Linked DNA regions of Lonchura striata. The protein of the gene in region 1 purifies or fractionates together with the protein of each later gene. This does not show direct contact. Links are inferred from orthologs where the notes say so. Each region holds a gene or a part of one and is shown on either strand. Other genes may lie near its edges. The genes, in order: protein UXT and RPAP2.

What was found.
Region 2: the proteins of protein UXT (region 1) and RPAP2 purify together in Homo sapiens (affinity purification with mass spectrometry; 4 studies listed by BioGRID and IntAct, counting the BioPlex papers as one, with this or other methods). This does not show direct contact. The link is inferred for Lonchura striata from reciprocal best matches to the Homo sapiens genes UXT and RPAP2.

What each region holds. Positions count from the first base shown.
Region 1 is NC_134638.1:951,724-966,914, reverse strand, and holds protein UXT, read right to left. Parts: upstream 7,873-15,191; 5' UTR 7,860-7,872; coding exon 7,786-7,859; intron 6,172-7,785; coding exon 6,090-6,171; intron 5,347-6,089; coding exon 5,282-5,346; intron 4,479-5,281; coding exon 4,371-4,478; intron 3,529-4,370; coding exon 3,465-3,528; intron 2,406-3,464; coding exon 2,352-2,405; 3' UTR 1,904-2,351; downstream 1-1,903. Other genes in the region: uncharacterized protein LOC110481730, read right to left, coding at 10,799-10,871, 11,012-11,820, 12,223-12,306, 12,369-12,506, 13,636-13,738, 14,566-14,634. UniProt on the Homo sapiens protein: Involved in gene transcription regulation. Acts in concert with the corepressor URI1 to regulate androgen receptor AR-mediated transcription. Together with URI1, associates with chromatin to the NKX3-1 promoter region.
Region 2 is NC_134611.1:20,521,616-20,537,257, reverse strand, and holds the start of RPAP2 (putative RNA polymerase II subunit B1 CTD phosphatase RPAP2), read right to left. Parts: upstream 7,541-15,642; 5' UTR 7,518-7,540; coding exon 7,475-7,517; intron 6,647-7,474; coding exon 6,601-6,646; intron 6,090-6,600; coding exon 5,975-6,089; intron 5,325-5,974; coding exon 5,226-5,324; intron 4,188-5,225; coding exon 4,122-4,187; intron 2,898-4,121; coding exon 2,809-2,897; intron 660-2,808; coding exon 624-659; intron 1-623. Other genes in the region: GLMN (glomulin), read left to right, coding at 9,202-9,267, 9,729-9,854, 11,257-11,376, 12,372-12,480, 13,671-13,917, 14,389-14,488, 15,425-15,612.

The DNA.
Region 1 (15,191 bases):
GGGCACGGCTGGGCACCTGGGCACAGCTGGGAACAGCCAGCACACCTGGATTTACCCTGAACACCTGGCACCCACCCTGCACAGCTGGGCACACCTGGGGCACCCCCTCACACCTGGGCACAGCTGGCACCCACCCTGCACACCTGGGCACAGCTGGGCACCCCCTCACACCTGGGCACACCTGGGCACACCTGGAGCTACCCTGCACAGCTGGGCACACCTGGGGCACCCCCTCAAACCTGGGCACACCTGGCACCCACGCTGCACACCTGGGCACACCTGGGGCACCCCCTCACACCTGGGCACAGCTGGGCACACCTGGAGCTACCCTGCACAGCTGGGCACACCTGGGGCACCCCCTCACACCTGGGCACACCTGGGCACACCTGGAGCTACCCTGCACACCTGGGCACACCTGGGGCACCCCCTCACACCCGGGCACAGCTGGGCACAGCTGGGCACAGCTGGGCACACCTGGGCACACCTGGGCACACCTGGGGCACCCCCTCACACCTGGGCACACCTGGGCACACCTGGGCACCCCCCCCGCCCCCGCTGCCCTCCCGGCAGCCGCGGCCTCCGCGGGGGGATCCCGGGGGGATCCCGGGGGGTTCCCGGGGGCTCCCGGCCGCTCCCGGGGCTGGTTCCCGTTACCGGCTCAGCGGCGCGGAGCCTCCCAGAAATCCTCGGCCATGGCGGGGCCGGGCCCGACCCCGCGGGCGGCTCCGGTGGGGCCGGGCCGGGCCGGGCCGGGCGGGAGCGGCGGCGGCGGCGGCGGCGCAAGATGGCGGCGGGGGCGGGGCGGCGGTGACGTCACGCGAGGGGCGGGGCTAAGAGCGCGGTAACCACAGCGCGAGGGGCGGGGCTGCGCGCTGGGGGCGGGGCTAAGAGCGCAATGACGTCAGCGTGAGGGGCGGGGCTGCGCGCTGGGGGCGTGGCTAATGGCGCAGTGACGTCAGCGCAAAGGGCGGGAAAGGAGCGGTGGTGGCGGGGAGGGGTTGAAAAGGGGGCGGGGCTTACGAGGACACGCCCCCTAAGGGGCGGGGCTGTTCGGGACCCTCCCCCCCGCTGACCCTCCCGGATCACTCAGGAATTACTCCGGGGTTACTCCCAGTTCACTCATTACTCCGGGGTTACTCCCAGTTCACTCAGGAATTATTCTGGGGTTACTCCCAGTTCACTCAGGAATTACTCCAGGGTTACTCCCAGTTCACTCAGGAATTACTCCGGGGTTACTCCCATTTCACTCAGGAATTACTCTGGGGTTACTCCCAGTTCACTCAGGAATTACTCCAGGGTTACTCCCAGTTCACTCAGGAATTACTCCGGGGTTACTCCCAGTTCACTCAGGAATTACTTCGTGGTTACTCCCAGTTCACTCAGGAATTACTCAGGGGTTACTCCCAGTTCACTCAGGAATTACTCTGGGGTTACTCCCAGTTCACGCATTAATTACTCCGGGGTTACTCCCAGTTCACGCATTAATTACTCCGGGGTTACTCCCAGCTCCCTCCTGTGCACCGCACAACCCCCACTGCAGCTGTACACACAGGTGTAAAAACCCTGCTTTACTCCAGCTCCCCGGTGTAAAAACCCTGATTTACTCCAGCTTTACACGCACGTCACTCCCAGGTGTAAAACCCTGATTTATTCCAGCTCCCAGGTGTAAAAACCCTGCTTTACTCCAGCTTTACACACACGTCACTCCCAGGTGTAAAACCCTGATTTATTCCACCTTTACGCACAGGTTACTCCACGGTGTAAAAACTCCATTCGATTTGTGTTTTGCACACAATTCACTCCCAGGTGTACAAACTCCATTTTACTCCAGTTTTACACCCGGGTCACTCCCAGGTGTACTAACTCCATTTTACTCCTGTTTCACACACACATCACTCCACGGTGTAAAAAACTCCATTTTATTCCGGTTTTACACATGTGTCACTCCCAGGTGTAAAAAGTCCGTTTTACTCCTGTTCTACACACAAGTCACTCCCTAGTGCAAAAATTCCATTTTACTCCCGTTTTACACACCCAGGTCACTCCCGGTGTACAAACTCCGTTTTACTCCCGTTTTACACCCAGGTCACTCCACGGTGTAAATAACTCAATTTTACTCCCGTTTTACACCCAGGTCACTCCACGGTGTAAATAACTCAATTTTACTCCCGTTTTACACCCAGGTCACTCCACGGTGTAAATAACTCAATTTTACTCCCTTTTTACACACACAGGTCACTCCACGGTGTAAATAACTCAATTTTACTCCCGTTTTACACCCAAGTTACTCCACGGTGTAAATAACTCCGTTTTACTCCGGTTTTACACCCCGGTCCCTCCCGGCGTCGCGCTCAGGGCTCCGAGGTCCCGGGGGGCTCCTGCAGCCCCTGCAGCTCCCGCAGGCCCTGGGGGAGGGGCAGAGCTGGGGGCGGGGCCTGGAGAGGGGGCGGGGACTGGAGAGGGGGAGGGGCTTGGAGAGGGGCGGGGCCTGGAGAGGGGGAGGGGCAGAGCTGGGGCGGGGCCTGGAGAGGGGGCGGGGCCTGGAGAGGGGGCGGGGCTTGGAGAGGGGCGGGGCCTTGAGAGGGGAGGGGCATGGAGAGGGGGCGGGGCCTGGAGAAGGTGAGGGGCTTGGAGAGGGGCGGGGACTGGAGAGGGGGCGGGGCCTGGAGAGGGGGCGGGGCCTGGAGAAGGTGAGGGGGCTGGAGAGGGGCGGGGCCTGGAGAGGGGGCGGGGCTTGGATAGGGGCGGGGCCTTGAGAGGGGAGGGGCATGGAGAGGGGGCGGGGCATGGAGAAAGGGGAGTGGCCCACAGAAGAGGGCGTGGCCATGCAGGGAGGGGGTGTGGCCAATCACGGGGCGTGGCCCACAGGAGGAGGTGTGGCCTGCAGGAGGGGGCGGAGCCATGCAGGGAGAGGGCGTGGCCCACAGGAGAGGACGTGGCCTTCAGGGAGGGGGCGTGGCCTGCAGGAGGGGGTGTGGCCTACAGGGAGAGGGTGTGGCCTGCAGGAGGGGGCGTGGCCTACAGGGAGAGGGTGTGGCCATAGAGTGGGCGTGGCCCACGAGGAGGAGGCGTGGCCCACAGGAGGGGGAGTGGCCCACAGTTGAGGGCATGGCCATGCAGGGAGGGGCGTGGCCTAGATGAGAAGGCGTGGCCCACCGTGGGGGGCGTGGCCATACAGGAAGGGGCGTGGTTTGCAGGAGGGGCGGGGCCATTCAGGGAGGGGGTGTGGCCTATAAGAGGGGGCGTGGCCCACAGGGAAGAGGCGTGGCCATGAAGTAGGGGGTGTGGCTTGCAGGAGGGGGCGTGGCTTGCAGAAGGGGGCATGGCTTGCAGGAGGGGGCGTGGTTTTGCAGAAGGGGGCGTGGCCACGCAAGGAAGGGCGTGGCCATGCCGGAGGGGGCGTGGTTTGCAGGAGGGGGCGCGGCTTGCAGGAGGGGGCGTGGCCATGCAGGGGGCGGGGTTACCTCCAGCACCAGGCGGATGTGGGCGCGGATCTTGGCCCCGTCGCGCGTCAGGGATTCGCTGAGCCTGCGGGGGGCGGGGCTTAGGTGGGAGGGGCTTGGGAAGGGTGGGGTCCCCCGAGTGGGTGTGGCCTGATGATTGACATGGCAAAACCACGCCCTTTTTGTCATCAGGATGGGGGCGTGCCTTCCTGTTGTGGGGTGGGCGTGGCCTGGGTGGCGTGGGCGTGGCCTGCGGGAGGCCACGCCGTTTTGGCCATGGGGCGGGGCGGTGATTACCTTTTATGGTGTGGGCGTGGCCTAAGGGGGCGTGGTTTGCCCATCTGGGGCCACCTGTGAGCACAGGTGAGCGTAAGAGGGCGTGGCCTGGGTGGGCGTGGCCTAAGTGGGCGTGGGCATCTCCTCCCACCCCAAAATCCATGGGAATGGGGGCGTGGCCTAAGTGGGTGTGATCCAAAATGGGCGTGGGCCCCTTCCAACCCAAATACAACGGGATTGGGGCGTGGCACTGGGTGGGCGTGGCCTCAATGGGTGTGGCCTCGATGGGCGTGGCCTAAAAAGGGGCGTGACCAAGGCGGAGTGACCAAGGCCCAACACCCAGCACCACGGGGTGTGGCCGGGGGCGTGGCCGGGGGCGTGTCCAGGGTATGGGGGCATGGCCGGGGGCGTGACCAGGGTCTGGGGGCGTGTCCAGGGTCTGGGGGCGTGGCAGGGGGCGTGTCCAGGGTCTGGGGGCGTGGCCGGGGGCGTGACCAGGGTCTGTGGGTGTGGCAGGGGGCGTGTCCAGGGTCTGGGGGCGTGGCCGGGGGCGTGTCCAGGGTCTGGGGGCGTGGCCGGGGGCGTGTCCAGGGTCTGGGGGCGTGTCCAGGGTCTGGGGGCGTGGCCGGGGGCGTGGCCGGGCCGCCTCACCTCTGCAGGAGCGAGCTGCGGCGCTCCAGGTGCCGCAGGGCCTCGGGCAGCGTCAGCTCCACGAAGAAGCCGAAGCCCAGAGCCACGAAAACGCGCCGGGGGTCCGGGCTGGGGGGAAAAGGGGTCAGGGGGGCACCCCGAGGGGTTTTGGGGGGGTCCCAGGGGTGGTGGAGGCTCAAAGGAAGCCAATTTTGGCGATTTAGGGGCTCCCTGGGGAGGGTTTGGGATCTCAAGGGGAACTCCGGGGGGAATTGGGAGTTTTCTTTAAAGGGGATCGGGGTCCCAAAGGTGCCCAGGTTGGGCCTGGGGAGTTCTGGGGGGACTCAGGGGAGTTTTGGGGTTCCTGCAGTGGATTTTGGGGGTCAGAGATGGTTTTCGGGGGTTCTGAGGAGGTTTTTGGGGGTCTGAAAAGGTTTTTGGGGGTCTGAGGAGACTTTTGGAGAGTCTGAGGACGTTTTTGGGGGGTCTGAGGGGGTTTTTGGGGGGTCTGAGAAGGTTTAGGGAGTCTGAGGAGGTTTTTGGAGCTCTGAAAAGGTTTTTGGGGGGGCTGAGGAGGTTTTTCAGTGTCTGAGGAAGTTTTTGGAGGGTCTGAGAAGGTTTTTGGGGGGGTCTGAGAAGGTTTTTGGGGTTCTGAGGAGGTTTTTCGGGGTCTGAGCAGGTTTTTGGAGGGTCTGAGGAGTTATTTTGGGGTTCTCAGGAGGTTTTTGGGAGTCTGAGGAGACTTTTGGGGTGTCTGAGGAGACTTTTGGGGTGTCTGAGGAAGTTTTTGGGGGGTCTGAGGAGGGTTTTGGGGGGTCTTAGAAGGTTTTTGGGGGTCTGAGGAGGTTTTCGGGGGTTCTGAGGAGGTTTTTGGGGGTCTGAGGAGGTTTTTGAGGGTCTGAGGAGGTTTTCGGGGTGCCAGCCCCACTCACACTTCAGCACTGACGAAGAAATTGCAGCCGAGATCCACCTGGGTGTGCAGGGGGGCGTCGACGTCCTGGGGACCCCAAAACCCCCCGGGACCCCCGGGGTCACACAGAGAGCCCCAAACACACCTGGAGAACCCCAAACACCCCCAGGGACCCCAAATCCCAACCCCCAAACACCACTGGGGACCCCAAATCTACCCAGAGACCCCCAGTCCCTCCCTCACAAGACCCTCAATAACCCCTAAATCCCCCCGATATTCCTCAATTCCCCCACAGGACCCCCAATAACCCCTAAATCCCCCCGATATTCCCCAATTCCCTCACAGGACCCTCAATAACCCCTAAATCCCCCCGATATTCCCCAATTCCCTCACAGGACCCTCAATAACCCCTAAATCCCCCCGATATTCCCCAATTCCCTCACAGGACCCTCAATAACCCCTAAATCCCCCCGATATTCCCCAATTCCCCCACAGGACCCTCAATAACCCCTAAATCCCCCCGATATTCCCCAATTCCCTCACAGGACCCCCAATAACCCCTAAATCCCCCCGATATTCCCCAATTCCCCCACAGTACCCCCCATAACCCCTAAATCCCCCCGATATTCCCCAATTCCCCCACAGTACCCCCCATAACCCCTAAATCCCCCCGATATTCCCCAATTCCCCCCCAATTCCTCCCAAAACTCCCCACGAGGCTCCCAGAAATCCCCCGCACCCTCCCGGAAACACCCCGATACCCCCCTAAAACCCCCTCCAAGCCCCCCAAATTCCCATCCAGGCCCCTCCCCAGGCCACGCCCCCCGCACCTGCAGGCGGGCGAGGGCGGCGCGCAGCTGCAGCACCTGCGCCTGCTGCTCGAAGACGGCGTCGCGCTGCTCCTGCACCCGCCTGCGGGGGGCGCTGCTCAGGGGGCGTGGCCTCGCCCGGGGGGCGTGGCCGCGCCGCGAGGTTAATGGTGGGTGTGGGAGTGGGCGTGGTTTTTGTGAATGGGCGTGGTCATCATGTGGAGGGTGTGGTCGTGAATGGGCGTGACTTCGTGGTGAATGGGTGGAGTTGATGGGGGTGTGGCCAAAAATGGGCGTGGCCTCAAAGTGAAAGGGAAAAATTTATGCAAAGCCGTGGCCATAAAATGGGCGTGGCCTCAAAGCGAAAGGCAAAATTTATGCAAAGCCATGGCCATAAAATGGGCGTGGCCTCAAAGCGAAAGGCAAAATTTATGCAAAGGCGTGGCCATAAAATGGGCGTGGCCTAAAGCTGAATGGAAATTATTTATGCAAGGGCGTGATCGTAAAATGGGCGTGGCATCATTGTGAGTGGGTGGGGCTGATAAAGGTGTAGCCAAAAATGGGCGTGGCCTCAAAGCGAAAGGCAAAATTTATGCCAAGGCGTGGCCATAAAATGGGCGTGGCCTCAAGTTGAATGGAAATTATTCATGCAAGGGTGTGGCCATAAAATGGGCGTGGCATCATTGTGAATGGGTGGTGCTGATGAGGGCGTGGCCATAAAATGGGCGTGGCGTCGTGGTGAATAGAAGGCATTTAGGTAGGGGCGTGGTCACAAAATGGGCGTGGCCTCAAAGCAAAAGGCAAAATTTATGCCAAGGCGTGGTTATGAAATGGGCGTGGCCTAAAGCTGAATGGAAATTATTTATGCAAGGGTGTGGCCATAAAATGGGCGTGGCCTAGAGGTGAATAGGTGGGGTTTATGCGGGGTGTGGATGTGAAATAGGCGTGGCCTCAAAAAAGGCGAGGATTTATGCAAGGGCGTGGCCATAAAATGGGCGTGGCCTCAAGCTGAATGGAAATTATTTATGCAAAGGCGTGGTCATAAAATGGGTGTGGCCTCAAGCTGAATGGAAATTATTTATGCAAGGGCGTGGCCATAAAATGGGCGTGGCCTCAAGCTGAGTGGAAATTGTTTATGCAAGGGCGTGGCCATAAAGTGGGCGTGGCCTCAAGCTGAATTGAAATTATTTATGCAAGGGCGTGGCCATAAAATGGGCGTGGCCTCAAGCTGAATGGAAAATATTTATGCAAGGGCGTGGCCATAAAATGGGCGTGGCCTCAAGCTGAATGGAAATTATTTATAGATGGGCGTGATCATCAAATGGGCGTGGCATCATTGTGAATGGGTGGGGTTGACTTGGGGGCGTGGCTTCAGAATGGGCGTGGCCTCGAGGCGAAACGAAATCCCGCCCTGACCCTTAGATGGGCGTGGCCAGGGCGCGCGTGGGCGTGGCCAGGGCGCGCGTGGGCGTGGCCATGGCGCGCGTGGGCGTGGCCAGGGCGCGCGGGAATTCCGCACTGCGGCGTTAACGGGGAGGGGGCGTGGCCACGGCGCCGACCCCGCGGGGGGCGTGGCCGCGGAATGGGCGTGGCCGCGGCGCGCGGGTTTGATGAATGAGCGGGGCCGGGGCGGGGGGGGCGCGGCCGCAGCCCCGCGGCGATGTCGCGGCGATGTCGCGGCGATGTCGCGGTGATGTCGCGACACGCCGCCTCCCACCTGAGGTCCCGCTGCAGGACGTCGCTGACGAACGCCTCGTAGCGCTGCGCCTTCCCCGCCGCCGCCGCCGCCATGCCGCCTCTGACGGCGGCGCCGGAACTGCGTCAGCGCCGCGCGCCGCCGGGCGCCCCCTGGCGGCCGGGAGGACCCGGGCTCCTCCCCCCCCCCAACCCCGCCCCTATGTCGCGACATGGCCGCCGCGCAATCGGCGGGAGAGCAGCCGGAGCGCCGCGACCTGTGCCCCGAGCCTGCCCCGGGTGTGCCCCATGTGTGCCCAAGTGTCCCCAGGTGTGCCCAAGTGTGCCCGGGTGTGGCCCATGTGTGCCCCAGGTGTGCCCAAGTGTGCCCAGGTGTGCCCAAGTGTGCCCAGGTGTGCCCAAGTGTGCCCAGGTGTGCCCGGGTGTGCCCCAGGTGTGCCCCGAGCCTGCCCCAGGTGTGCCCAGGTGTCCCCAGGTGTGCCCCAGGTGTGGCCCAGGTGTGCCCGTGTGGCCCAGGTGTGCCCCATGTGTGCTCAAGTGTGGCCCAGGTGTGCCCCAGGTGTGCCCAGCTGTCCTCAAGGGCACCCAGGTGAGCCCGGGTACCCCCAGGTGTGTCCAGGTGTGCCCCAGCTGTGCTCAGGTGTCCCGAAGTGTGCCCAGCTGTGTCCTCAGGCACCCACAGCTATGCCCCAGGTGTGCCCCACGTGTGCCCGGGTGTCCCCAGGTGTCCCCAAGTGTCCCCAGGTGTGCCCAGGTGTGCCCCAGGTGTGCCCAGCACTCCCCAGGTGTCCCCGAGTGTCCCCAGATGTGCCCGGGTACCTCCAGGTGCGCCCAGGTGTGCCCTGGCACTCTCCAGGTGTGTCCCAGCTGTGCCCTCAGGCACCCCCAGGTGTGCCCAGGGTCGCCCTCAGGTGTGCCCGGGTGTCCCCAGGTGTGCCCAGGTGTCCCCAGGTGTGCCCAGCACTCCCCGGGTGTCCCTGAGCGTCCCCAGATGTGCCCGGGTATCTCCAGGTGTGCCCAGGTGTGCCCCAGCACTCTCCAGCTGTGCCCTCAGGCACCCCCAGGTGTGCCCAGGGTTGCCCTCAGGTGTGTCTGAGGTATGCCCAGGTGTCCCCAAGTGTTCCCCAGCTGTGCCCCAGGTGTGCCCAGCACTCTCCAGATGTGCCCCAGGTGTGCCCAGCTATGTCTGAGGTGTCCCCAGGTGTGCCCAAGTGTGCCCAGCTGTGCCCCAGTGTGCCCAAGTGTGCCCAGGTGTGCCCAGGTGTGCCCAGCTGTGCCCCAGTGTGCCCAGGTGTGCCCAGGTGTGCCCCAGGTGCCTCCCCCACCCCATCTCCCCAAATTTTGGGGTCCCCCGGTCCCCCCCCACCGGAGCCACCCAGCGCCAGCAGCTCGGGGATTTATTGGCCCCGCCCACGCGGGCGGAAAGGGGCGGGGCTAAGCGGGGCGTGGCCGAGGGGGCGTGGCCAAGCGGGGGGCGGGGCTTACACACTCACGAGCACGCGCGGAGAGACACCCCCCCCTCAATTTGGGGGGGCGGGGGCTGGGGATTGGCAAACACAGAGCGGGGGGGGAGGGGATCCCCGGGGGATTTTGGGGGGTCCTGGGGGGGATTTGAGGGGTCCCGGGGGGGATTTTGGGATCCTGGGTGGATTTGGGGGGGTCCCGGGGGGATTTTGGGGGGTCCTGGGTGGATTTGGGGGGGTCCCCGGGCGGATTTTGGGGATCCTGGGTGGATTTGGGGGGTCCCGGGGGGGATTTTGGTATCCTGGGGGAATTTTGCGGGGTCCCTGGGGGATTTTGGGGGGTCCTGAGGGGATTTGAGGGGTCCCGGGGGGGATTTTGGGGATCCTGGGTGGATTTGGGGGGTCCCCGGGGGGATTTTGGGGATCCTGGGTGGATTTGGGGGGGGTCCCCGGGGGGATTTTGGGGATCCTGGGTGGATTTGGGGGGTCCCGGGGGGATTTTGGGGGGTCCTGGGTGGATTTGGGGGGGGCCCCGGGCGGATTTTGAGATCCTGGGTGGATTTGGGGGGTCCCGGGGGGATTTTGGGGGGTGCTGGGGGGATTTGGGGGGGGTGCTGAAGTCCTGGCACGCCCGGGAGGATTTTGAAGATCCCTGGGGGGATTTTGGGGGATCCTGGGCAGATTCTGAGGGATCCTGGGGGGAATTTGGGGATCCCTGGGGGGATTTTGGGGGGTCCTGAACACCAGGGGGTCCCCCCAGGTATTTTTGGGGTCCCCCGGGTGGGATTTTTGGGTTCCCAAGGTATTTTTGGGGTCCCCCCGGGTATTTCTGCAGTCCCCCCCAGGTATTATTGGGGTCCCCCCGGTATTTTTTGGGTCCCCCCGGTATTTTTGGGCTCCCCCCGGCTATTCCTGGGTTCCCCCCGGTATTTTGGGGTCCCCCCGGTATTTTGGGGTCCCCCCGAATATTTTGGGGTCCCCCGGGTATTTTGGGGTCCCCCCGGTATTTTTGGGGTTCCCCCGGGTATTTTGGGCTCCCCCGGGTATTTCTGGTTCCCCCCGGGTATTTTGGGGTCCCCCCGGTATTTTTGGGGTCCCCCCCGGTATTTTGGGTTACCCCCAGATATTTTTGGGGTCCCCCCGGGTATTTTGGGGTCCCCCCGGTATTTTTGGGTTCCCCCCTGTATTTTTGGGGTCCCCCCCGGTATTTTGGGTTCCCCCCGGGTATTTTGGGGTCCCCCCGGTATTTTTGGGGTCCCCCCCGGTATTTTGGGTTCCCCCCAGGTATTTTTGGGTTCCCCCCGGTATTTTTGGGGTCCCCCGGGGTATTTTGGGGTCCCCCCGGTATTTTTGGGGTCCCCCCGGGTAATTTTGGGGTCCCCCCGGGTATTTTGGGGTCCCCCCGGGTATTTTTGGGGTCCCCCCGGTATTTTTGGGGTTCCCCCGGTATTTTGGGTTAGCCCCGGGTATTGCTGGTTCCCCCCGGGTATCTTTTGGGTTCCCCCCGGTATTTTTGGGGTCCCCCCCGGTATTTTGGGGTCCCCCCGGTATTTTGGGGTCCCGGTGTCGGGGTCACTCGAAGAGGCTGGCGAAGCTCTGCCGCAGCGCCCGCAGGCTCTCGGGGGGGCCCTGCTCGGGGGCGGGGCTGCGGAATTTGGGGGTTCAGGGGGGGAGGGGGCGTGGCCTCGCCCCTCGCCCCTCCCCCCCAGCCCCACCCACTTACCTGGGGGGAGGGGCCCCGCCCGGTTTGGGGGCCAGCGCCGGTTTGGGGGCGAGGGGCGGGGCCTGGGGGCGGGGCTGGCGGGTGGTGGGCGGGGCCTGGGGGCCGGGGGGGCGGGGCGAGGCGGGGGTGGGCGGGGCTTGGGGACCGGGGGGGCGGGGCTGGGGAACAGAGGGGGAGCGCTGGAGGCGGGGCTGGGGCGAGGTGGGCGGGGCTTGGGGGCGTGGCTGAGAGGAGGTGGGCGTGGCTTGAGGGCGGGGCTGCGAAGTGGGCGGGGCTTGTGGGCGGGGCTGAGGTGATGGCGGTCCTTGTGGGCGTGGCTGAGGGGAGGTGGGCGGGGCTTGTGGGCGTGGCTGAGGGGAGGTGGGCGGGGCTTGTGGGCGTGGCTGCGAAGTGGGCGGGGCTTGTGGGCGGGGCTGAGGGGACGCGGCTGGGCCGGGTGGGCGTGGCTGTGCGGTGGGCGGGGCTTGAGGGCGGGGCTGAGACGTGGGCGAGGTCGGTGGGCGGGGCTGCGGGCTGGGTGGGCGGGGCTGAGCTGCCGAGGCAGCCAGGGGTGGGCGTGGCTGAGAGGTGGGCGTGGCTTGTGGGCGTGGCTGCGCAGTGGGCGGTGCTTGTGGGCGTGGCTGCGCGGTGGGCGTGGCTTGTGGGCGTGGCTGCGCGGTGGGCGTGGCTTGTGGGCGTGGCTGCGCGGTGGGCGTGGCTTGCGGGTGTGGCTGTGGCGAGCCGGGCGGGGTTTGTGGGCGGGGCTGAGCCGGGCTGGGCGGGGTTTGTGGGCGGGGCTGGGCGGGGCGGGCCGAAGCTCCTCCCATTTGTGGGCGGGGCTGCCCCTGCGGCTGGGGGCGGGGCTGGGCGGGGCCGGACGGGGGCGGCGCACCTGGAAGGGAGAGAAACACCTGAGGGGGCGGGGCCTGAGGCAGGCACAGCCCCAATTTGGGGCAAAACCCCCCAAATTTGGGGCGGGGCAGCCCTGGAAGGGCATCCCCGGGGAGGGAGGAGCTCCCCAAAATTTGCGCGTCTGGGAGTTTTTAGGAATGATTTTGACTTTTAGGATTTGGGGCAAACCTGAGGAGGATTTTTGGGGAACCCCCGATTTTCCCCCTTTTTAGTGGAAATTGTCACATTTTGAGCAAAAACAAATCCTGAACAATTCCAGGACGCAAATCCCCGAATTCTGGAGGCTCCCCCGGGTTTTTGACAGCTCCGAGGATTTTTTGGGGCGGGGGAGGGGAAGGAGGCCCCGCCCATTTTTTTGGGGTGGGGGGGCGGGGTCACTCACCCTGGGGCTGGGGTCTCTGCTGGGGGGGGGTCCCCGGCCGGGGGGTCCCCGATGTCGCCGACACCTGCAGGAAGGAGGGCGGGGCTCAATTTTGGGGAGGGGTCCGGGGGCGCACCTGGAGGGGGAGGTGGGGGAGGGGCGGGTACCTGTGGGCGTGGCCGGGCGGGGGAGGGGCTGCGGGGGCGGGGCAGCTCCTCCCGCATCCGCTCCAGCACCAGCTCCACGATCTGCGCCTGGTCCTCGGCCGCGCCCGGGCCCAGCAGCGGCAGCCACGAGCCCAGCACCTGCGGGGGGCACGGCCGGGCGGGGCTCAGGTGCGCCACAGGTGCCCCAGGTGTGCCCCAGGTGTGCCCCAGGTGTGCCCCAGGTGCCCAAAGTGTGCCCCAGGTGAGCCCCAGATGTGCTAAGATGTCGCTGGGTGTCCCAGGTGCCCAAAGTGTGCCCCAGGTGTGCCCCAGGTGCCCAAAGTGTGCCCCAGGTGAGCCCCAGGTGTGCCACAGGTGCCCAAAGTGTGCCCCAGGTGTGCCCCAGGTGCCCAAAGTGTGCCCCAGGTGAGCCCCAGGTGTGCCACAGGTGCCCAAAGTGTGCCCCAGGTGAGCTCCAGGTGCCCAAAGTGTGCCCCAGGTGAGCCACAGGTGTGCCCCAGGTGTGCCCCAGGTGTGCCCCAGGTGTGCCCCAGGTGCCCAAAGTGTGCCCCAGGTGAGCCACAGGTGTGCCCCAGGTGAGCCACAGGTGTGCCCCAAGTGAGCCCCAGGTGCCCAAAGAGTGCCCCAGATGTGCCTCAGATGTGCCCCAGGTGCCCAAACTGTGCCCCAGGTGAGCCCCAGGTGTGCCACAGGTGCCCAAAGTGTGCCCCGGGTGAGCCCCGGTGCCCAAAGTGTGCCCCAGGTGAGCCCCAGGTGCCCAAAGTGTGCCCCAGGTGAGCCCCAGATGTGCTAAGATGTCGCTGGGTGTCCCAGGTGCCCAAAGTGTGCTCCAGGTGTGCCCCAGGTGAGCCCCAGGTGCCTGAAGTGTGCCCCAGGTGAGCCCCAGGTGCCCAAAGTGTGCCCCAGGTGTTCCCCAGGTGCCCAAAGTGTGCCCCAGGTGAGCCCCAGGTGTGTCCCAGGTGCCCAAAGTGTGCCCCAGGTGTCCCCAGGTGAGCCCAGCTGCCCACAGGTGTGCCCCCGGTGAGCCCAGGTATGCCCCAGCTACACCTGGGCGCCCTCACCTGTCCCCAGGTGTGCCCAGGTGTTCTCCAGGTGCCCCCCAGCTGTGCCCAGGTGTGCCCAGAACACCCCAGGGGTGTCCCGGCTATACCCGGGTGTACCCAGGGGTGCTCCAGGTGTACCCAGGGGTACTCCAGGTGTACCCAGCTCTGCCCCCAGCTGTGCCCAGGTGTGCCAGCTGTGCCCAGCTGTGCCCAGCTGTGCTCACCTGCACGATGTGCTCCTGCCCGTCGGGCTCCCGCAGCGCCTCCACCCCGCAGATGTCGACGCCCCCGAAGAGGCCGGCGCAGGCGTCCACCCACGCCCGGTGCCTGCGAAGGGAAGGGGCTGAGGCCACGCCCACCGCCAGGGCCACGCCCACCGCCAGGGCCACGCCCACCAACCTGGACACGCCCACCACCCTGGACACGCCCACCACCCTGTACACGCCCACCGCCGTGGACACGCCCACCACCATGGCCACGCCCACCGACATGGCCACGCCCCGACATGGCCACGCCCACCACCCTGGACACACCCACCACCCTGGCCACGCCCATCGCCGTGGCCACGCCCATTCAACGGCCACGCCCATCTCCATAGCCACCCCCTCGCCGTGGCCACGCCCACCGCCCTGGCCACGCCCCTTTTCACCGGCTCCACCCTGTGCAAAAGCCACGCCCCTTTCCAGATGGCCACGCCCACTAAAGCCCTGCCCCAACCACAAGGGGATCTCAGGGGCACGCCCCTTTTTGATGACCACGCCCCTTTTAGTGGCCAATCACCGTTTGTGGCCACGCCCCCTTTGATGGCCACGCCTTTTTGGTGGTCACGCCCCCTTTTGATGGCCACGCCCCTTTTAGTGGCCAATCAACGTTTGTGGCCACGCCCCTTTTGATGAGCACGCCCCTTTTAGTGGCCAATCAACGTTTGTGGCCACGCCCCTTTGATGGCCACGCCCTTTTCGGTGGTCACGCCCCCTTTTGATGGCCACGCCCCTTTTAGTGGCCAATCAACGTTTGTGGTCACGCCCCTTTGGTGGCCACGCCCCTTTTAGTGGCCAATCAACGTTTGCGGTCAGGCCCCTTTGGTGGCCACGCCCCTTTCCATGTAGCCCCGCCCCCCCGAGCCCCTCCTGGCCCCGCCCCCTCGCACTCACCTGGGGCTGAGCGCCACCGGCTCCACCTGCGGCCCCTCCCCCGCCGCGGCCCCGCCCCCCAGGGACCACCTGGGGGGAGCCGGGGTCAGCAGGGACCCCCAACCCCCCCGGGACCCCCATGGCCCCGCCCCCCGCGCTGAGACCCCGCCCCAAAACGCGCCAGGCCCCTCCCCCAAACCCCGCCCAGGCCACGCCCACAGGTCCAAGCCCCGCCCCCAGAATGAACGCCACCAGTGCTCCCAGTGCCCCCGAATCCCTTCCCAGTTTGGCCCAGTTCCCTCCAACCACCTCCCAGTTCTTCCCAGTCCACCCCAGTTCCCCCCAGTGACCCCCAATCCCTTCCCAGTCCGTCCCAGTTTGTACCAGTTCCCTCCCTGTCCCTCCCAGTTCGTCCCAGTCCTCTCAATCTCTTCCCAGACCCCCCCAGTTCCCTCCCAGTGACCCCCAATCCCTTCCCAGTCCCCCATAATCCCTTCCCAGTCCCTCCCAGTTTGTCCCAGTTCCCTCCCAGTCCCCCCAATCTCCTCACAGTCCCTCCCAGTGACCCCCAATCCCCTCCCAGTCCATCCCAGTTTGTACCAGTTCCCTCCCAGTCCCACCCCAGTTCCCCCCAGTCCCTCCCAGTG
Region 2 (15,642 bases), on another chromosome or scaffold:
AGTTAGAAGAGTATAAACAATATATTATTAAAGACAGCAGAACAATGTCAGACTTAGCATCATGAATGGTGCAAATTTAAAATTAAGACAGGCATGTTAACATATATAGGGAAATAGTACCCTTAAGTCATGCTTAAATCAGGATTAAGCTGAGCTGTTTCAGCATATATAAGTTTGCCACCTAATGGCAATGTGTTGCAAAAGAAAACAAACAGAAAGGTGCACAAGGCACAGTGAGGTACAGCGAGATGACAGAGTAGCGTGATTTCTTTTTGGCTCATATAGACCTTTTAGATTAAGAAGTACAGAAGCTTTCATCACATATAATTGGCACAATTTTTTTAATAAAGAATAGATGGCATAAAATATTCAAAGTACAAACAGTGTATTTGTTTCAGATTTCAACAGGCTCAATTAAGACACACAATCCAAGAGCAGCTGTACAGTAAATTATACAGATCAAATTTTCTGGGCTGGAATCACAAAGGAGAAAACCTTTGCATAGGTTCTGGTAAGGTCTTTTTTATAACACAACAAATCAAAGATTCCCTTTGTGTCTGCTATGATGCTAAAATTTCTAGCTATAAGTGCATCTAATGAAAAAAAGAAATTGTTCAGCGTACCTCCGTCCCTCCTTCAGCAGCTCTATGTCTGGTGGTCTGGAAAAAGAAGACAGAATGAATGTTTTCCTGCTAAATGTAATCTCTTGAAATACACATAAATACAAAAAGAATTGACTTTGGAAGGGACATCTGAGGATCATCTACTCTAACACCCTCTGTTCAAAGCAAAGCTAGCAAGAGCAGGTCTGTGCACGTGTTCAGGGAACGTGACTCGTGTGCCTGCAGCACAAGGCTGTTACAGTGAACAATTTAACACAGTCACCACGTCACACAAAGGCTTGTCAGAAAGGACCTCTGGAAGGCTCTAGTCTGATCTCCTGCCTGAAATGCAACTCTCACCAGCACTAGGTTAGGTCAGCCATAAATTCATGAAGTTTAAATCTTGAAAATCTCCAAACATGGAGATTTCAAAATATTGCTGAGTATCCTGTTTCATTCCACCATAACCTTAGTACAATATTTTTCCAAATGCCCAATCTGAACCATTCATGTGATTATCTGTGGCCATCAACCAAGAATAGGCTTTGTAATCTTTCTAAGTTTTTTCAGCTAGTTTTACACTGCTTTCAGATCTATTCTTCAAACAAGTGAACATGCCAAGATCCTCATAGATCATACGGTTCCTGTAGTAAAGACAATTCTGGGCTATTTACAGGAAAATGTACCAATTAATGCAAAATATGAATATTCATGATTTTTAACTTATTTTAAATTTTACTTTATTAAAAATTAGGCCATCAAGTTATATTTTTTTAAAGAAAATGGTTTTCAAAGGCTTCCAGAAACTAAAAATATTACTAAACAAATTCCAACGAGTTTCTTACCAAAGCCCTACTTGCAATTAATCTACTTCAGTTCTGAGGCATCATGACAGTCCTATTCCTCTTACCCAATACCAAATGTTAAAAATCTCACATATCCTATGATTGAAAGAAAACCTTTTAAACAAGCACTAAATGCAAGTCAGTGTACTAACACCTTTCAGTATGTAAAAGATCCTGCAGGAAAGCCACTCATATTAATAAACTAAATTTGGAAACTGAAGGTGATAACAGAGTGATTTATATTACTAGCTCCATATAATTCTTCTGTGGAGTTTTAAGTGGAGGTTGCAGTTTTTTCTATCAAAGGAATTTCAAATATTCTAGTATGTCAGTGTGTATGGGTGTGTGCACATGTATGTGGTTGTGCGAAGAGGTGTAGCTAGCCAAGAACTATCTGGGAGTTTGTTTGTTTGTTTTTTGAAAATACCGCCTCCCCACCAGCACCCAGAATAAATAATTAACTATGTCAGACATAAAAGAACTATACACTTTTTATGTGAAGAATAAAGGGAGATTTTAGAAACAGTTTTCTTAAAGACAGCAAAACAATACCTCAAAAGCATCGGAAAACTTAAATGACAAGTCTAGTTTTACCTACTAGAATACCTCAGATCTGATGGGGCTGCTCTAAAGCTCTTCTGTCATTGATGATCTATTTCATTTGACACATATAACTCCAGCTAGTTTCTTTTGTTGAAACCCAGGAAACTATGAGAAACAGTGTCTTGGAGAATGACAGCTGAGTAAATTTGCTGAACATTCTCTATGCCAGTCTTTGTTGTTCAACAGTGACACCCATTGGCTCCATTGACTATTTGCAAGCCCATGTTTTCTGAGATGGGAACATGGACTGCATACTGTTCCAATATGCGTATTGCAGGAAGAACAAGAAATGGCCAATCAGAAATTTAGACTGGATATAAAACCTCTTCATGTTATAGATTGCTTTCAGATGCAAGCATTCATTGTCTACGCTTAAGATCAATGCTAAGTGCTATGCTAAAATTAGAAATCTCTTGTAACAGTGTAAGATTATTCCAACCCATTTGTAAAAATTCAATCCTAGTCAGTCCATTTTAAAGTTAAAGGACTTAATTATTATTTCTGACTAGTCTGCCCTCTAAACTAACATGGTCATGTCTGCTAAGTAGATGAGAGTAGTACTGAACCAGGCCAATTACTGTAATCCATACAGCTTCAACACTTTTAGAACAGACACCATGCTAAGCTAATATGTCAACATCAGCTACCTCTGCTTCAGCAAAATCATTTTGATGTGCTGCAGCTCTTAATTACCACTGTAGACACATAGAGAAATAGTATTCTCAAAAGGTGTATTGAATGTATAGGATTATACTTACTTTTCTTCTTCTCTCATCCACACTGGACTTTTGGAAATTTGAGCTTCAAAATATTTAGATGCTCTATAGCAAAAATTGCTGCAAAAGCACTGGCAATGAGAGAAAGCAAGAACAACTAAGACGAATACACAGAAAGGTACAAAAGTAATTTATTTTAATGTCTGTAAAATTAAGTACCAATTAATGTTTCTTTTCAAGCCTGTGGCCAGGTTTTTAGTTCACCTGAGAAACCCAACCTATCAAATAGGTCTATCCCCTTCTGCACAAGCCACATTCAGCTGCTTCTTTCCTTTCCATTTTTCTGCTTCCTGAACTTTTATTACACACTGAGAAGCAAACCAGTGTTGGATTCTATGCAATAATAATAATTTAAAAAAAACCCCAACAAATCAAACTGTTCAAAGAGGAAGCCATAACCCAATATGCTGTTCATACACTTTGAAAGACATACAATAAAATTCAGATGTTTAATAATGAAAATTTTGGTTAGCAACAGAACTCGCTATTTTGTAATACTTAGAACAACACCTAAAAATCTGCAGCATCTTTGAAAAATTGATTTGCAAACTTGCATTACAAGGGAAGAACACAAAGTATCCCACATCTTGTTGGAGTCTTGCCTGATTTCTCATGAAAGCAATTACTAAAATTTTGTGTATCCCAAAGTTTTAATCAGAGGAAAGGAATGCATGCTAATGACACTGAAGAAATTTGTTCTGTAACTGGAAACGTTTATGTTACAATTTAGTGTCTACGTGCCTATAGGTGATTGTGTATCCTGTGAAATGGCAAAGATGACTTATGCAACCACCTGTGAACATGCTTCCAGAAAGAAACATTTTTTGAAGAGTTAAGTTTTATGTTGAAAAGTCCTCAAAAGAGAAACCTAAATGTTCCCCAGAAAAGAACACTAAGGGATATGTAACATGTAACTTGTACTACATTACTGCAGACTTCAGTGATTGAAAAGGATGTGCACTTTGACCGTACTAAAGCTCACTAACTATGCTGGAGCAAAATAAAGAACACTTCACAAATGCCTTTAACAGAGCACCTGTGTGACTTTCAAATGGCTATCCAAGTAAAATTTTCCATCTTGTGTTTAAACTTTGAAAACACATGTATTTTGTCTCACCAAAGATATCATCTAGGAAGTGAAATGCACAAAAAATTTCAACAGTTTGTGAAAATCTTTTTCATAAGAACCAAACATATTTGTCTCTGAATCAAGCCATTATATGAATGCTGTTACACAATGCATTTCTGATGTTGCCAGCATTAAACACATTCTAGAAATACACTTGTTACCATACCTTTCTTTCAGTGATATCATAAACTCTGTTCGTTTTTGTTGAAATTCTGTACTTCTGCTTTGGCACCTAAAATAATATAGTTTAATCAGCAAGACTGTCAGTTCCATCATGACTACAGAGAAAACTTCATTCTTAGTTCACGTATTTGGGTATGTACAAAATATTATATTTAACTGAAATGCATACTACAACCACCTCAGTTCTTCTTATGTTGCACCTTCTCAGATGTAAGAATGGCAGTTTATCTTTAATCATACACACCTCATTAATCAGTAAAAGGTAGTTCCACAGCTATAAGAAAACCAATGCTGAACATAAAACAATGTTATGGCAGAAGCTTTCCTCATGAGTAAGTGCTGAGCAATTACAGACAAGGCCTTCCTTAATCCAGATCTATTTATATGCATACGAAACTGAACTGTCAGACCTGAACCACTACCCAGCCATACCCAGATGAACCTATGCAAACTGTTAACAGTTTTGAAATTAATATCTGTGCAAAGAGATAAAGTCCAAAACAGTAAATTGTTTTGTACATGAGTAGAATGTTTTCAGATGTTTTAATGTGTAGCACTGGTGTTACATCACAGGTTATCTAACTGACCTCTGAGTTCTGCTTAAACTCTCATGCATCATACCTAAAGAGGGGTGACTTTCATATTGACACAGCTGATATACATTTTCATAGGAGATATATATGCATTCACATAATAATATCCCTGCATTGTATTGTTTTTTCACTTTAATCCTTCTCATAGACATCTGTTGCTACACTGACAGAAGAACAAGATTTCAAAGTTTTTCCATTCACAAAGGAAGGCCATGAAGCCATCACTCGTTCATCTTTATCCCTGTCAGAACAGACAGATGGATTGTGATTCTGATCATACAGTAACTGATTCTGGCATACAAGAACTGCTGTCTACTGATGAAATTTCACCTTTCACTTCAGAAGGATTATACTGAAATATATAATGCCTGGCTCCTTACTTGACAGTAATCTGTGCTTAATATTCTAAGTTTAAAATTAAAAAAAAAAAATGCAAGACAATAAAAATTGTGAAAACATTCCTTTGATAACACCATTAAGGAAAAGCAACTTACATTTTCCAGTCTCTTCTGACATAGAGGATAACCACATAGTTTGATGATAGATCGCTCATCAACAACATCTTTATAGTGAGATGGAGTAATACTTTTTCCCTAAAATGACAAGAAAATAGTTCAACAACAGATACTGGAAAACTTGCCAGTTTTTGTACTCAAAACATCTCTTAAGCATGTAAATACCTTAAATTTTATAACAGCTATCTATTAAGTTTAATAAACAATACTGAGAACCTACACAGTAGAAAAGGTAAAAGGGTAAATAGGGAAGGAAAACAGACCCAGGCATTTCTTTTTTGCATATACAAAACCTTCACATTTTTGCCTCTATTTATGTGCTGTGTACACCTATTAATCAGCCTATTTACAACCTTAACAAGAATAATCATTATACCATTCCAGCAGAACTCTGCTGCCAGATAACTGTGGTGCTTTATAGAGACTTTGTGTAAATTTACAGACGGTATGATGTAAACCTAAATTTTTACAGTTCATCTGTCAGTCCAGAACCACAGAAGTATCAACATGGGCTCTAATAAGAGTGAGGATTCATTAATGTACACAGTCCTGCAAAACTAGGGCATGTTTTCACTGCAGAACCCTTAAAAATATGGAGACTGTTATCAGAGCTGGTAGAAGAAGGAATCAATGGTTTGGCTATTTTAAACTGTAGCAAGTTATTCCAAAATCTGTTAAAAAAGTACCACACTAAGATACAAAACAGTAGAAAAACTTGCAACACCTACACAATTTAGAAGGAACTCTTCAGTAATGTCCTGTTCCAGGAGCTGCTCAACAATAGACAATGCTTTTTTCTCACATTCAATCTTCTTTCTCAGTGCAGCCTCCAGAGCTGCTTTCCTGTAACAGAACAGAAACTGAATGATACAGAGGGCAGATTTCCATAAACAGTTCTCCAATTATATTTTTATCTTTTTTTCTGAAATACAGCTTACATTTTTTTGTATCACACCATGTTGGCCAAACAAAGCAACAAGTAACTGGACTAGTAATTCTGTTGCTACAAAAACAAATACCTCCTCCTGAGTGGTTTTTAAATGAAAATAATTATAAATGGCAGAAGTTATGTAAAGAAGTTAGGACAGCCAAAAGCAAGAACTACAGGCTAAGGAAATACAATTTTGGACATTAGATTACGAACTTTTATTATATTATGCCATGCTCAGATGTGCATGCTGTTAGAAGTTACACAGCACCTCTCCAAACATGTCCTACATGATGCTGATGCTGGTGATTTACTGAAGTTAATCGTGGTACTCTGAGAAAGCAAAGCCTCTGCAGCACAGAGACTGCAATTTCAAAGTGAGCCAAAACAACACAAATATCTCATATTATTCCTCAGAAATTATACCTTTGAGCAGCATCTTCATTTTTCTGAGCAGCTGAATGCTTATTTCCTAAGAATCAAATATACAGATATCAAAATTAGTGTACTTGCTTAACAGCAGATGTTGGAACCTGAAAAATATGAAAACCTCTAAACTGTAAGCACAATTAAGATAATTTCTTATTATTGCTTTTGCTGGCTGTGATTTCAGTAAGCTGGTATTCAGCAACCAGACACACTTTAAAAAGTGTGAAAACAGGCCCAACGCTTCTTATACTCTCATTCACCACGTTCTGTATGCACAAAAAAGAGAAAACATTCTGACAATGGCGTTGTGCCAGCCACACCCCCCGTCTCTCCAGGCGGTAAAGCCCAGTTTTACCGCGGCGCCCCACTGCCGTCCCCACGGCTGCCGCGGGGCAGGGCTGAGCCAGGGGCCAGGTCCAAGGCCTGACACAGAGCCGCTCCCTCCCGGGACGGCGCCCGGCCCGGCTCCCCACACGGGCGTCCGCGCAGCCGCTCCCCTCCGACACGGGCAAAGGCAGGGGCGCACCGGGCTGTCACCCTGGCAAGGACGCAGCGCCGCGGGCAGGGCTCGGCGCTCTGACGGCACGACCGCCGCCACAGCCCGTCCCCGATGCTCAGAGCCGCCGCCCCGGCCCCTCACAGCCCGAGGGCACGGCGGGTCCTGCCTCGCCCCGTCCGGCGCACCGCTCATCGCGGCCCCGCACCCGGCCCGGCAGAGCCCGGCAGAGCCCCGCAGAGCCGACCACGGCCGGCCCGCGCTCCCCTCCGCTTGGCTTGGGCGACACCGCCGCCGTGCCGGCCTGCGGGCACAGGGAGAGCCCAAAGCGCAGCCGGGGGGAGCGGGGGCTGGCGCGCGGACCCCGGCGCCCACCTGCGCGCCGCCGGCGGGACTTGCCCGCCGCGGCCGCCATCATCGCCGTCAGCGCCGCTCCGCCCGCCGACCTCTCACCCGGGGCGGGGCCGGGAGAGGCGGCAGCGCCGGGCTGAGGGCTTCCTCTGGCAGGGGCTGAGCTGAGCTGAGCACAGGCGGTGCCGTGCCCTTGTGGCTTGTAATTCAGCCGTGTGTTACAGGCTTTAGCTGGCAGCCTTTTCGTCCCATCCTGGCTGTTGTACCGCCCAGAGAAGGGGCTGGGGTATCTGTTTATTAGAAGAGAGTTTGGTGAGTATTAATAGAACGTTTCACATGATTCAGACGCTGCTCACTTGCCGCTGAAACCTCCTAAAAGATTCACTTGGAAGCCGGATTAAGTATTAAGGCCGGAGACCATCTGCGAGCTCAGCCAGCAAATCCATGCAACACGGTGGGTGCCTGGGACGCGTTTCAAGGCTGTAAGTACATTGTCAAGTTACTGAGGGCTGCTGTTCGAAAGTATGTTAAATTGTTTTGGCGGGATTAGTAATAGTCTGTAAAATGAAGAGTTTAAATAGTACAAGATGTGGTAAGAAAGTATGTGGTAATGATCTGGTTGAAATGACAGGCTAGAAAGGATAGGTTTCAGTGACATACAGGTGTCAGAATGGGCCCTGAAGAATAGGAAGTGAGTTGTTTATTCTTTGAATAAAGAAGGTCATACACAGATGCCTTTTAAGCTTTTGTGAGTTGTCGCCTCTTGTGAGCGTCTAGATAGGTTCATTATCTGTGTGTTGTCTCATTTAGGTGTGCTGGCAATTGGCCAGCGTCAACCCACCACTTTAGGTAAAACTAAGAAGAAAGGCTCAGGACATTGCATGGAGATGCCTGTTTTGATGAATAGTTGCCTAATTAACCAGGTGTAGGGGTAATTGACAATCATAGTGATAATATAACCAGGTTTAGGTCCATGGCATTACTTAAAACCATAAAGATTATGACTGCTGCTATGATATATCACATGGGATAACCAGGCTTGATTGCATTTTTAATTCATGAGCCTGGCTACATAAAACTTGGTACATACTTGACATTACTCAAGTGTATAACTTTGTTGTTTTTAGCAAGAAAGTTTTAAATTTTAATACCTAGAGGTAAAAAGCCACTGCACTAGTCCCACCTAGACACTAGAAAGAAATAAGTGAAACTGCATATGTAATCTTCACTGGACTGTTGATATAAACAGGCATGGTGTTTGAATCAGTGCCTTCACACACCAGATATCGGGTTAGTGTGTTCCAGTCAGGGCTGAGCAGAAGCTCCTCTGGTCAGAATAGGCACAGAAAATGTAGTGTGTCATGGGTGTGCCTCCTTGGCATGCAGTGAGCCCAGACTTGCTCTGTGTTAGCTGCAGTTTTCCATGTCTGTGCCTGCAGTAGTCACTGAAACCTTCACACTTCTTAAGATGACCCAGATAGTACTTGAAAAATTATTTCCCTGTACATAGAATGCATGTTGTTTCCTGTCTGTAATACTGTTTCCTGCTAATATGGGGAGTAGAATAATATAGCATACACTTAGTAAAAATGAATTTTCCCTTATTTGCTAATTATGTAGTCTTTATATTTGTCTAGATTGTTCTTGTTCCCCCATTAACTTTTTTTTTTTTGATAATGTGATTATTTTTCAGCCTCTGTTTTAAATCCGTGTAATATAATACTGCCCTCTTTAATTTATAATAAATTTTCATGCTGGAAGAACACAGTCAAACTAAAATGGCAGTTGATGAACTTCAAGACATAATACAAAGATGTGTAAGTAGTTTTCCTTCCTTAGAAGTAACAAGTGTCAGTAGTGCGAGTTTCTTTTCATATATTAGAATTAAAACCAAAATTACCTCAAAAAACAAGTCCACTGTTAGTAGAACTCTTCATGGAACAGCTAAGTTGAGCCTCCATGTTTCATTGCCTTCTCTGTGGTGCTTATCCCAAGATGCTTGATTATTTCTGCTTCTTGGAGAAGGAGGTGTGTACCTAGGAACAAAAGCTGGTAGTTGTAGAAAACACATCTTCCAAACAGCAAGCTGTAATGTAGACTTAGTGCTATTGAAATACTGCCCTGTCTTCTGTAGTAACTTGGTAGCTTTTTTAGTAAGTTAAAAATGTATAGAAGTTACAATGATATTACATCTAATTTTGAAATGAAAGCATGGATTTTCTTATTTCTTAATTGACTTTGCTAAGTATGAGGTTAAACATTCATATTTTCTTTCTAGCAAATTCTGGAAGAAGCTGATTTCAAAGGAGAAGATTTCAATCTGTTTCAGGTAGCAGGTCAGAAATGTTTGGAAGATGGATATGCAGCTCAGTTATTAGAAGTAATTCAAAATGAGAAAAACAAGGTGAGTTTAAGTTTGCACTGCATAGTAGTGTTTATTAACATTAAATATAAAACTGCTAATTAAGAGGGGAAAGCTACTTTCTCTGTGGAGCAAGGCTGTACATAAGAGTAGCTAATAAGTTGCCCTGTGTTAAGTGCCCATTATTCTGTATTCAGGTATCTTACAGAAACCCAAGTCACAGTAATCTTAACAAAACCATTAATAACTCTTCTGTGAGTGAAGCAAAGAGAAAAGGAAGTAGAAAAGCATAATTAGGAGAAAGTGGCATGTCCCACTTCCACAGGACGGGGATTTCAGATGGTGTACTAGGTCTGGCTGGCATGGAGTTGGCTTTCATCATGGCACACTGCATAGTGCTGTGTTTTAGATTTGTGACCAAAAAGGTGCTGATAATACATCAGTGTTTCAACTACTGCTGATCAATACTTGTGCAGCATCAAGGCCTTCTCCCTTTCTAACTCTGCTCCCAGTAAGCAGGGAATTTGGGAGGAGACACAGCTGGGACAGCTGACCCAAAGCAGTGAGATACTCCACAGCATACAACATTGTGCTCAGCAGTAAAGACATGGTTGGGGACCCATTCCGAAGTAGCTGTTGTTTGGAGGCTGGCTGGGCATTGGTCTCATTGTGGGAGTTGATCTGCATCATTCTCCATCATGCTCTGCTGTCTTTTGTCTTTCACTTATTACTTTATTACTTTATTATCTTCAGAGTTCCTCTGTTTTGTCCTTTTGATTCTCACCACTATTCCCACTGAGGGACAAGAGCAAGCAAGCAGCTTAGGGGTGCTTAGTTGCTCTTGGGGGACAGCCTACCACAAATGGATATAATAATATTGGCCGACTGTAGGAGCCAACTAGGCTGATGCTAATCTGAAATACTGATGTCTGTGGGCATTAGGGATGCTGGGACAATATACCAAACTGAGAGAGATAAATAGGAAATTCAGAAAGAAAGGCAGGGGCAGAATATTTTAGCAATGTTGCATGGAGTTCAGAATCTGTTACATGGGTTTCACAATCTGGTTTTGAATTTTGTGAGTTTGGAGTAACAACTGAAAATCTAAATCCCTTAATGAATAATTTTTTCAAGTGTTCTTTCAGCAGAACTCCTCTGCTCAGTCCCATTTTAAATGTATTGTCATGCATGTTTAAAAGTATATATTGGTATGTTAATAATTAGAAGAAAACTATACAAAACATGCATCTGTGTTTATAGGTATGGGGACAGAAAAGAGTGTGTGTCAAATTATGGTAACAGTTGCTAAATATTCAGTGATAGCAACTGTAATGGTTACTGTCCAGGACACTGATCTGTTGTTGTCTTTGGTCTTTATATACACAATCTTTCTGGGTTTAGAAGACATCCAGCTTTGGTTTATTCTTCAATATCTGGTTTTTAGGTTATCATCAAGAATATGGGTTGGAATCTCATTTCTCCTCTTGTTAGATGTATTTTTATATACAAACAAGAAGATGATAAGCGAGAACACTGCCTGAGGATACTAGATCAGTTGGCACAGGTATGGTACATGATTATGATACAATAATGTTAGGGAAGTTCTGCACAAAAAGGGATGCTAGATCATTAATCCATGAAGATAGTACACCAAAGGCCAGTTACACGTTTATACAATTTGATTCTGACAATATTTGCATAATATCTACATCACTACTTGGGTAAGCTGCTCTTAGTTTAACATTCCCTCACCTCAATTGAAAGGTACAGAGAATTCTATGCATGGTGTGTGTTCAGTGGGTAGGGCTCTTTGTTTGGAATTGGTAGGCTCAGCCTCAGAGGTATGTTTTTCACATGAAAATGAGCTAAATTAATCTGAAGGACACAATTTAATCTGAGTTAGCTAGCTTGAGTAAAACTTACAGTATGTTGCTAAATGTGTTTTCTAGTATCTAATTCAAGGTCTCTCTGTTCATGTTCTCTCTTTAGTTGTTTCAAAACTGTTCTGCAAGACCTTGCCATTTTCCACTTATCTCTGTCTGAATAGTATTTATTGTTCTCTTTTCGGTGATTCACTTGGAAAAGTCTTATTCACCCTTCCTCAAATGAGAATCATTACCTGATGATTCTGATGGAGTAGAAGCAGAAAAATATTTTAACCTGTAAAAACTTATTCTCTTTCATTTATGCACTTCAAAACCAACTTGCAAACTTTATAGCTTGAGTTAAATTCCGACTCAAATTCTACTTCTCTCTTTGCTCCTGAAGATCAATTTGCAAAGGTACTCTGAGGTTTTTACAGCCTATTAAAATCAGGTTTAGTGTCAGTTTTTATGATTATATGTTTTCAGCTCATATGAAAGTGTACATACAGGTATGCTCTACAGTAGATGTTAATTGTAGGCATGTACTTATGGTTTCATATTTGTTTTCTTAAATCTAATCTTGGATGTTCAGATCTTCTCTCTTGACATTCAGGAACTTCTGTATTGCATGTGATTTATTTTTTTTTATTACGACCATGATTATTTAAAAATACGAATTGTTCCTCTCTTGCAGCTTTGCAATCCAAAGGAACTTTTTTTGGGTTTACTTGAGCAGATTGAGCAGACCTCTGGAGAGCAAGTGTGTCAAACTGTCATGTTATTGCTTCAGCCTTTGCAGACAGGTGGGATTAAGTTTATTTTGTGATTTCTGAATTAAATTATTTTCTCATTTATTTATCATTTTATTTTAGCCTTTGCTGGAATGGTTTCAGAATCAATCCATCATGACAAAGCTTTACTGTCCATTATATTCTGCAACATAACACAAGGCATAAATTTCATGCTTATATTGGCCTGTTAAAAAAACATTTCTGATAGAACTAATAGCAGTAGTTGAAAAAGCAGTGTTCAGCTATTTTTTTAATCATTTACAAGAATGTGGTCCTATGACAGTTTTATTTAGAGGTGTAAAGCACTCCTACTGTTGTTGCAGAAATAGGAAATCACATGGATTTGTTAAATTCTTCATGATTTGATTTTTAAAATATGCAATTCTATGTTTTTGTAGTATAAAATTGTAATTTTGATTGAAGCATGTTGAAATACTTTATTGGTGAGGGGGTGAGTGTTATTCTGGCCTACATATGAAAATTTAAAATGTTGTGTGTGGCCACTCTCTAAGTGGGTAACAAGCAGTAGTTTCTGTTTTGTTATATGAGAGGAAATTAAGTATTGTGTATCAAATTGAAGTCTGATTGTAACAATCTCCAGGATATGTTATTGTATTAGATTAGAATTTAACAAGAGAAATGCGTGGTTTTTTGGGTAGCCAATCTGCAATTAGTCTTCACTGGGTTCAGTTAAAGTGGAGAGCCTCTTGTTCTCCTTCCTCAGCCTGGGAGAGTGTCTGTTATTTTTGCCATGGAGTAAAAACCAGAGTCAGTTCTCAGCAGAAAAGCTGGGCTATTGTCTCTGGTTTTGGTAAGCACAGGAGTCAAGTAACAAATGCATTTTCCTGGTCAGATATGTATCATTTTACTTAGCCCAGTTCTAGAAAACAGATTTTTTTTCAGTCCTAATCCTGGTGCTGTGGAGAAAGGAAGAACATTAAAATGCAGGACAGATTTAATATTTGTTATTTGCAAATACCTGGCCATGTTAACTACAGTGTATTAAACCAGGTGATTGTGTTTAATCTTGCTGGATTTGCTCATGTGATTTCAGGTATCAGTCGCTCTTCTTCCCTGAAAACAAAATGTTTCCTTACCTAGTCATATTATTTTTCTTCATGTTTTCCTCTACTAAGTAAGTGATAACTTAATGCCTCAAAATGTTCTCTCTTCTTTTCCTCTTTTTTGTTTTCTTTCCCCAGTGCTTTTGAAACTTCAGAACAAGAAGGCCTACTCAGTGGGTTTGTCATTGGCCATGATTATGAATCAGCTCTCTCCCTTACCTGTACCTTACACAAAACAACAAATAGAAGAAGATAAACTTGGTCTCTGTCAATGTTGTAATGCAGTGGTGGACTTTGCTAAACCTTTTGTGAATGAAGTTGTTAAAAATATAGAAAAGTCATCAGAATACAATGATGTGGAGCTGAAAGAAGAATTAATAAAATTGTGAGCGTTTTATGTCTGTGCTATATATTCCTCTAACTTAACAAAATGAATAGTAGGCATTTATTATATAGGCAGCAAATAAATAATCTTTTAGAGTTTTATAATGCTGCCAACATATATCTAACTAATGTGGTATTTTGACAAAGAACCCCTAAATAGATCTTATATATTTATGCATTCTGTTTAGTAGAGGGAAATGGTAAAGAACTATTAGCTGCTGCATTGTGAAGCTGAGTTGGTATTCCTCTGTTCCTCAAATTTCCAACAGTGAGTATAATCATAGTCTGGAGGTGAAGTCTAAGTAATGCTTCTAGAGGAGATGTTGGGGTTTTATTTTTTTTATTCTCCTTGGAATACCTTGAATAGCAGCAGCTGATATGAATATAGGCATTATTCTTGGTCATCAGTGACGCTATCACAGTCTGTATTTATGACTGTATTGGTGATTTATTCCACCCCTTTCTTTTTCAGCTGTATGAGAAGCCTGAAATACCCACTATTGACAGCTCAGCTTGAACAACTTGAGGGCATTGAAGAACATCCTTTTCGGCATTTTGCAACTGAAATTATAGTGAGTGCAGTGGAAATGAATTAAATGTGTGCAGAACCAGTGGTCTAGTTCACAACTACCTCTAACTTGTTCTAGTGCTCATTTTGATTTCTGTATTGGTTAGTGAGGTGACTTAATGGGCTGTGTAAGTTATATCCTGTTGGGCACAGTCTGAAACCATGTTTTTATTTATAGCTTTAAGTAGTAAGAGCTGAAGCTAAGGTCAGCAAGTCATGCTTAGACTGTATTACATCTTGCATAATGCTAATTTTCTAAAATGTGCCTTCCTGGATGTTGGGTTTGGACAACTCCAGAATAGTGAGCTGACCTTGATCTCCCCATTTCTCTGTAACATGTACAAGAGGAGTCACACTATGTCCTAAGCCACGTGAAGGGCGTGAGGGGGTAACCACTGTAGTATTTCTGATGTACAAATGTCAGGTGTTCCCTGTGTTGTGCATCATGGGAAAGAAAGGCCATACAAAGCAAATCTATCTTGAAATCAGGGCTTGCCTTTTGCAGCTAAAAATTGTGTTCCACATTGATTAGTAAGGAAAAAAACAAAATACTGAGTATTCTGTGATCTGAAAAACACTGAGATTTTGTAACATAATGTTTTCATGAATCTGCTGTTACTCACTGAGGATAAGGAAACTGAACTAGGAGTTTGCAGATGGTCTTCATCCTCTTTTGCTAACTTTTGTGTCTTTGACTTTGCTATCTTAGTAATGTTTTTCTAACACTAGTTATTTTTCCTCCAGATTTTTGTGTGTGTTTGTGCATATATCATAAATCCCACATATGTATATTAATTTATATATTACAAACGTAACATTTACATTAATTTATATGCATGCTGTACAAGAGAATGTATGTAAATACAGTTAGAGCTTTAAAACTGAGTTGGCATACAGTTATTTTAGAGGCAACTATAGGAAATCTGTTTTTATTTTTTAGGACATTTTGTGGAATATAGGAGAATTGATACCATTAGTGTTTGTACATCATAAAGGCAAAAGTCCACACTGGGAGAATCAGGAGTTTGCAGACATAGAGCAAAAGAATTCTGCTGATTCTTTGGCGAGTTTGTCATATCTGGTGTTTGTTCAGCATTTTGGTGTTGAATGCTTTCCAGTGGTTTTTAGGTAAGAATCATTCTTTCTTGCTTATTGTAA